Linked DNA regions of Yarrowia lipolytica. The protein of the gene in region 2 purifies or fractionates together with the protein of the main gene of each other region. This does not show direct contact. Links are inferred from orthologs where the notes say so. Each region holds a gene or a part of one and is shown on either strand. Other genes may lie near its edges.

Evidence for each region.
Region 1: the proteins of YALI1_E03449g (region 2) and YALI1_B09448g purify together in Schizosaccharomyces pombe (affinity purification with western blotting; 3 studies listed by BioGRID, with this or other methods). This does not show direct contact. The link is inferred for Yarrowia lipolytica from reciprocal best matches to the Schizosaccharomyces pombe genes alp4 and gtb1.

Annotation. Positions count from the first base shown.
Region 1 is NC_090771.1:942,915-946,404, reverse strand, and holds YALI1_B09448g (uncharacterized protein), read left to right. Parts: upstream 1-1,512; coding exon 1,513-2,877; downstream 2,878-3,490. Other genes in the region: YALI1_B09426g (uncharacterized protein), read right to left, coding at 3,202-3,490. UniProt on the Schizosaccharomyces pombe protein: Tubulin is the major constituent of microtubules. The gamma chain is found at microtubule organizing centers (MTOC) such as the spindle poles or the centrosome, suggesting that it is involved in the minus-end nucleation of microtubule assembly.
Region 2 is NC_090774.1:343,717-347,646, reverse strand, and holds YALI1_E03449g (uncharacterized protein), read right to left. Parts: upstream 2,684-3,930; coding exon 314-2,683; downstream 1-313. Other genes in the region: YALI1_E03476g (uncharacterized protein), read right to left, coding at 1-8; YALI1_E03439g (uncharacterized protein), read left to right, coding at 3,347-3,442, 3,735-3,930. UniProt on the Schizosaccharomyces pombe protein: Component of the gamma tubule complex that is required for the regulation of both interphase microtubules and mitotic bipolar spindles.

The DNA.
Region 1 (3,490 bases), on a different chromosome or scaffold from region 2:
GGTTCTGGGTTCGGATTTTGGTCCCCGTTGAAGAGCAGCAATAAATGATGCTAAAAAGGGCCAAAAAACGACGTCATCAGCCACCCACTCTTCGGCACTCCCTCGCTAATCCACTGCCCCCTCAGAACTACAACCCTCAGACTTCATGTCTACCGCAGAAACTTTCATATCCTCTGTTTTCATGACGTCATGAGCTGCTGCTCTCACGCACCTCCCCAGCAACCTAACTTCCGGCCTCGCCCACGATCGAGCCAAGGGGTGAAGAGAGGTTCTTCAGGCTTGTGCGTAGATCCTCGTCTGCACCTGTAGATCTATCTTGGTCGGCATACACCCGAGACAAAACACTTTGTACAAGCACATCAGTACAGTACAGGCAAAACTGTGTCTGGCGACAGGGTACCTCCTTGGTGCTCAAAGATAGTAGTAATACACCTCGCTACCTCTATCCCCCACATTACCAACCAATACTCTCTACTCTACTACCCTCCAATCCTCTCTACTTGCCCAATTACGTCACCTCTCTGAACATTCGGAAGATCCCTCGCATGTAGAATAGACTCCTTGCCAAAGGGTGCAAATCAGTGCAAAAGACGTCCAAAAGAAGAGATACCGGAAACAGACACACTCGTGTAGATCACGTACACTTGTGTCAAGGTCACGTGCCACTCCTAAACGGGGTCAAAGTGGTTTCGCGATTGTGAGACTTGATTATACTGTCTAATCCAGGGTTGTATGTGTTTTGCAGAGGGAAAAAGTTGGGCAAATCGTCAAGGGGAAAATTGACGCAGGGGAACAGGACATTAATAGGCACAAGCACTCATCGAACACTTATCGCGTGAGGTTTATACCTAGTTCGCTAGACTGTGGTGTTGTAACCGTAGTAGGTAAGTAGTGCCGGAACACACACACGAAAGGCTTGATATCCAGCGTGTGACAAAAATAATGATACCGTTTGAATCAGAAAGATGCACTGATTCTCGTGGTACAAAAATCAACCTCTCAAGACCATTACTGATGAAGTTGGTGACTACTCCACCTTAGGATGATGCAAACATCGCCATCGCGTGATGAAGTCAGGATAACGACAAGGAGAGGTTCGACATAAAAAGAAAAGTGTTTTATTAGATTCAAAAGGGTCTGGTTTACTCACAGTACAATTTTTGTCCCGGTCCGAGTAGTATTTGTAAAGTTGACATAATTTCTCCAATCCAAACTAACCATCCAACAAAATAACCTATATTTACTTCACTTTAGTCAACAAACATATCCTTCTCTAGAATGGTCAGTTTTATAGCTAGAGCTTGGGGGATTTTTACAGAATGTATAATACACCCGAAATATGATCTCAAACTAGTCACTTTTCTCGTAAACGTCTCTCATCACTCTTCACAATGCCCCCTACTTCTCTCCTATATTTCCCCATAAAGTTGTATCAGCGTAAAGTTTAAAAGTACACGCACCACTTGTCTTATCACTTCACATCACGGCCCCAAACTCGTCTCAGACACTCAGATGCCACGGGAAATCATTACCATCCAGGCAGGCCAGTGCGGCAACCAGATTGGCGCGCGTTTTTGGGAGCAATTGTGCCGCGAGCACGGCATTTCGCCGGACGGCACGTTTTCTCCGACTACCAACACCTCCACTAACGTGGTAGACCGCAAAGAGGTCTTCTTCTACCAAGCTGATGACACTCGCTATGTTCCTCGAACGCTGCTACTGGACTTGGAGCCACGTGTCATCAACTCCACCGCTCTGGAGTCCCCTTATGCGCGAATCTACAACCCCGAAAACGTGTACATGAGCGCCGACGGCTCTGGAGCAGGCAACATTTTCGCCTGTGGCTATTCGGCGGCAGCCAAGATGGCAGACACATTGTTAGACATGCTGGATCGAGAAGCAGACGGATCGGACTCGTTGGAAGGGTTCATGCTGCTCCACAGTATCGCAGGAGGAACAGGTAGCGGAATGGGCTCGTTTCTGCTGGAACAGATCCACGACCGGTACCCCAAAAAACTGATTCAGACGTATAGCGTGTTCCCGAGCTCGTCCCAGGTCTCCGACGTGGTTGTGCAGCCCTATAACAGTATGCTGACTCTGAGACGACTGGCTGAGTATGCAGACTCGGTGGTGGTTTTGGACAATGGAGCGCTGGGAAACATTACGGCGGAGGCTCTGAGAGTGCAATCGCCGACCTTTGATCAGACGAACCAGCTGGTGGCAAGCGTCATGAGCGCCTCTACAAGCACATTGAGATACCCAGGATACATGCACAATGATCTGGCGTGTATTTTGGCGTCTCTGGTGCCCTTTCCTCGACTGCATTTCCTGTCTACGGCCTACACTCCGTTTTCAGCCGACGTTTTGGACGCCAATCCTTCTGGAGGGTCTTTTGCTGTCCGAAAGACCACAGTCCTTGATATCATGAGACGACTACTACAGCCCAAGAACAGAATGGTATCTGGCTCTGTTTCTAGACAGTCTCGATACGTTGCTCTGCTTAATATCATTCAGGGCGAAGATATTGACCCTACAGATGTCCACAAGGCTCTGTTACGAATCCGAGAACGAAACCTCGCGCCGTTCATTCCCTCCACTCCTGCCTCTCTGCAGATTTCTCTTACCAGACGGTCTCCATACATTCCCACGTCCAAGTCGCGTGTTTCGGGTCTGTCTCTGGCTAACCACACATCTATCACATCTGTGTTCAAGCGAACCATGGACCAGTTTGACAAGTTGTATCGAAGACACGCGTTCTTGGATCAGTATAGAAAGGAGGAAATGTTCAGCGATGGACTTGGCGAGTTTGACGAGGCCCGCGAGGTGGTCAATGGTGTCGTTGAGGAATACAAGGCGTTGGAGCCTTTGGGGGAGTAAATGGACAGTGGCATTGGTAAAATGTGGTTAGGAATAAAATGATTTTCATGATATCACCTCCGACAGTGATTAATATGAGTAGAAGGCTGGGTTTCTAACCGGGGGTAGTTAGGAGTTGTTTATTTTAAGTAATAGTTGGGATAATTATTGGGTTTGTTTGTAGTTTTTGTTGAGCTTCTGATAGAGAAGAAAAAAAACTGAACTCGTCTGAATTTGATCCCAATGAATGACGCAGTTGCACAGAATTCAAGTACGATCTATATCTGGTCAACTATCGGTACAAACACCTTTTTTGTGACTATTATTTCATTCAACTGACTCCAACTAGTTACCTTCACTACATATCATGATCTGCCTGTCTTCCATGTCTGGGAAATCGTCATCAACGAGTACCACAGGGCTCTCCATTGCTCTGACAATCTCCATCATTGTTCTGAAGATTTTCATCATTGCTCTGAAAATCTCCATCATTCCTCTAACGATCTCCACCATTGCTCTCTTTGCCACTACGATTCCGAAAGGTCCCTCCGGATGGATTCGGATCCCCTTGAGTAACAGAAACCCACAGTCGGTCTCTTGGAACGGCATGGAGTCTTTGTATGTTTTCCAGGTC
Region 2 (3,930 bases):
GATGTCATAGGTCATGGTTGAGGACACAGCTTCGTTTGAAGATTGGCGACCCGTGGATAGACGTGCAGAAGGTGCTGTAGTTGGTGCTGTAGTGTCGGCAGTTAATGTCATCCGGCGTCCGTGGATGTGCATTCTCCAGAGCTGGGCGGGTGCATCAACTTAAAAGAGGGAACCCATACTTACAAGTATATTAAGTACCTGCTGATGGGGAGCAAAACACTCCCAAGTTGTGAGAAATACAGCCAGTGAAAAAATCTAGAAAATAAATAAATATATTATTGAAAACCTCGGTTATATACATCGTTGCATAAAATCAACTCAGACGAGCACTGAGGGCCAACAGAGATGTGCTTTCAGTTGCTGCGAAGAACTCCAAGGCATCTTTGAACACCTTGCAGCTATGGCTGAAGTTGGTGTCTGTGGTTTTGACAAGTCTATTCATCCGCTCTACCAGCGTGTCGTTGGGGATAGTGGCTCCGTTTCTATCATACACAGGTTGCAGTCGGCTTCGTTCGAAATCGGACAAATGAGACGGGTCTACGATCTCAAGGAAGTGACTTCGAGCCTGAATGGTGTTCACGAAGAACCGGATGTACCCGAAGATCTTCTGCTGCACCCGGATGAGCTTTTCGTTAGTAAGCATGCACTCCTTCAGGCAAGTGTCCAAGAAGGTGATGTGGTCAGCAATGAGTTCATCCACATTTGAAGCAGACTTGAACTTCTCCTGTAGTCGCTTCCAGTTGGGCTCGATGACCTCAGCAGTGCAATGGTAGAGAAGTTGTTTCACAAACTCCACCATCTTGATTCGAAGAATGTTTGAAAAAGCCTTCCACTTGTGGAGTCTCTCGTCGCTCGTAGGGTAGCGCCAGTGTCGAGATTTGGCCATTTCAAGCCACACGATACTGAGGAGTCGCTCAAGGTTCTTCAGCTCGGCAAGATGACGAAAGAGTATCTGATATCGAATCAGAGCACGTCTGGAGATGACGAGAGAGAGAGGGAAGGGGACCTTGAAGTCTAGCTGAAAAGCACACGAAACAGGCATGTCATCCATGGACATCTTTCTAGAGTCGCTTTCCCAGCCAGATTCGTTGGGATCAGTGGCACACACAATCTGCAAAAGATAGTCCCAGACTGTTGTTGGTGCCAGGGAAGCAACCACGTCGTCCTTGTATTGGTCAGTGCTAGTGATTGAACCAGGCTGCCGTAGACATAGATCCAGAAGGTACTGCAACTTTGTCACAGAGGACTGGCTAGCCGGGCGAGCAAGCTCAGTCCAGGCAATGTCCTGGAAGTTGATGTAGTAATCAGCACGGTCCAGAAAGAAATAATGCTTCAAAGATGCAAGACGGTCGAACAGGTTATGAGATGAGAGCAGAAGGGATAATAGGGCTCTGTTGGACTCATCACTGGCAGATGCAATGCTGGGCACTAACGCCGGGTCTTGGATGGACTCCCAGTTAACAGCTGCGTCCTTCGAGGTGTCTCCTCCTCCACACTCACGCACAATGTTGAGATACTTGCCAGCCAAAAGGACCTTCTCGAGGAGATTCGATTGGGACAAGAGTAGGGGTAACTCGTCCTTGCGCACAGAGTACCGTTGTTCCCAGTACTCATCGTATGCACCCTCGTTTCCAGTAGCAAGGTCTCCGTTCTCTTGGATGCAGAACTCTCCGTAAGGATCCAGAATTACACCCTGGTAAATCCACCGCGATAACATTTGAAGGTATGGCTTGGATGCATCGTTGAGTAGTCTGGTGAGAAGTTGGTTCGCTGTTGGGTCGCCAGAATGTGCATTTAGTCTCTCTGCAATCACCTTCAATGTGATTCCTCCTCGACACATACTCGAACCATTAAGAGAGATTCCGTAACCTCGAGTGTCGATTTCCACGCTGTTCTCACGGAACTTGGCAAGAAGTGCATCCAGGTCATTGCTCGGCTCCAAGGTGGCATTATGGAAACGCACCTCATCCTCCCTGAGGATATCCTTGGCGAGCTCATGGGTCTCATGTAAGATACCTCCGATTGTCATCAATTTTAAATGGAACTTGTGAAGTGTCAAGCCGGATTCAAATCTGAGGGAATATTCAAGTCCTTGTGCCAGCTTGACGTACTCCTTGAGCAGCTTCCGGATAGAGGCTGCCAGGGCACCATTGACCAATCCTCTTCTGTCGCGGGTCATTTTGTCAACAAAAGCCGACAATGACACGTATGTGCTCGCGATCTTGATGCACGCTCGTGTAAAATCCTTGAAAGAGGGATCCAACCCTCTGGCAGTTCTGTAATCAGGACCTTTGAGTCGATCGAGCTCAAGTCGGGGGTTGTAAGAGTCACTGTAGTTGATGTATACACCTTCGTGGCCCATAAGAACATTAAGCAGATCCTCCATTACCAGAACCTCCTGAACATCCAGAGCGTATGTCTCAATATTTCTTGGTCGAGGGGTGTTTCTTGTCACCTCTGAACACTTTGGTTGAGGCATGAGTCTGCACGCCAACAGTGGCAGAGAGGTGCTAGGGTTAAGAGACACCTTTGGAACATACAGAGGAGCCTCTTGCTGTGGATGAGAAGAGTGAGAGCGGATATGTTGAGTTGTAGTTGTCGTTGTGATGGTACTCTTCTTGGTCTTGATACCACTAAGGCCCTGGTCATGGCCTTGGCCTTGCCTTGGGTCGTCCACTTCCATTTGATAAATCGACCGTTATTAATCAGATTGGCGTAGAGAATAATCGAGAAGCACCTTTCCCGGTTGTAGAAAAGAAGCCTGAGACCCAGCCGAATTGTGTCCTGTCGCGTTCGCGTTTGTTTATTTTAGGTTGGGTGTACGTACTGTAGCTACTGTACAAAGACATACAGTACGAGTGTACTTGTAGCTTGTAGTAAGGAGCGGTACGAGTACAAGTACATACTGTACCGGTGATGTGAAGATTTAGGGAACATTGAAAAACATCGTGGACGTACAAGTTTTTTTTTTTTTTTCTGCATATACATTCATTTAATTATAACTTTTATAAATATGTGTTTCATGGCTTCAGCAAGTATCATAAAAAAGTTTACCAGCGATTACTTCAGTTACTGGTGCACTTACCATGAAAAGTCACGTAATCGGTCGATGGACGTTGTCGTTTGCTGACTAATAATGTTGATGATATCTCAGTAAGGTCAATATGTATATATATATCATAATCAATTGTTCTCTCACTACTTCGAAGTTTTTTAATTAATTACAATACCGTCTCCTTATCGTGGTTCATGTTCCCTTGTGGCGATTTCGGGTCATCCAAGTAAGCTTCCATACTCCCCAACTTCGCATCACAGTTTATTGCCACCATCATCACCACAACACAGCATGTTCCTTACAAGAAGTGAATACGACCGAGGAGTGAGCACGTTCTCTCCCGAAGGCCGACTTTTCCAGGTCGAGTACTCTCTCGAGGCTATCAAAGTAAGTATTCAATGTGCAGATGTTGCACAATTACGACAATAGTGATGACGGGTTCATAATGAGGACATGGGTGTTTGAGCTCAGCCAGAAGCAGCAACCGCATCATCGGTTATTTGGCCATCTTAATGGAACGATCAGTATGAGCTATCGACTCAGAAGTGCGATTGTATCATTAATCTGGTGGTATTGGCGATCTATCGTCGTTGTGTCGCCACTTTTACCTAATCACACCCACTCACCCGTGTGCCATCAAGCAAGATAGGTCCATCCCAAATAACACCAACTAACATAGCTCGGATCCACAGCCATTGGTGTCGCCACCAAGGATGGTGTCGTTCTCGGAGTCGAGAAGCGAATCACCTCTTCCCTGCTTGAGGCATCATCCATCGAGAAGATCGTTGAAATCGACAAACACATTGGCTGTGCCATGTCCGGTCTCACTGCAGATGCCCGAACCATGATTGACCACGCGCGAGTGGAGTCTGTCC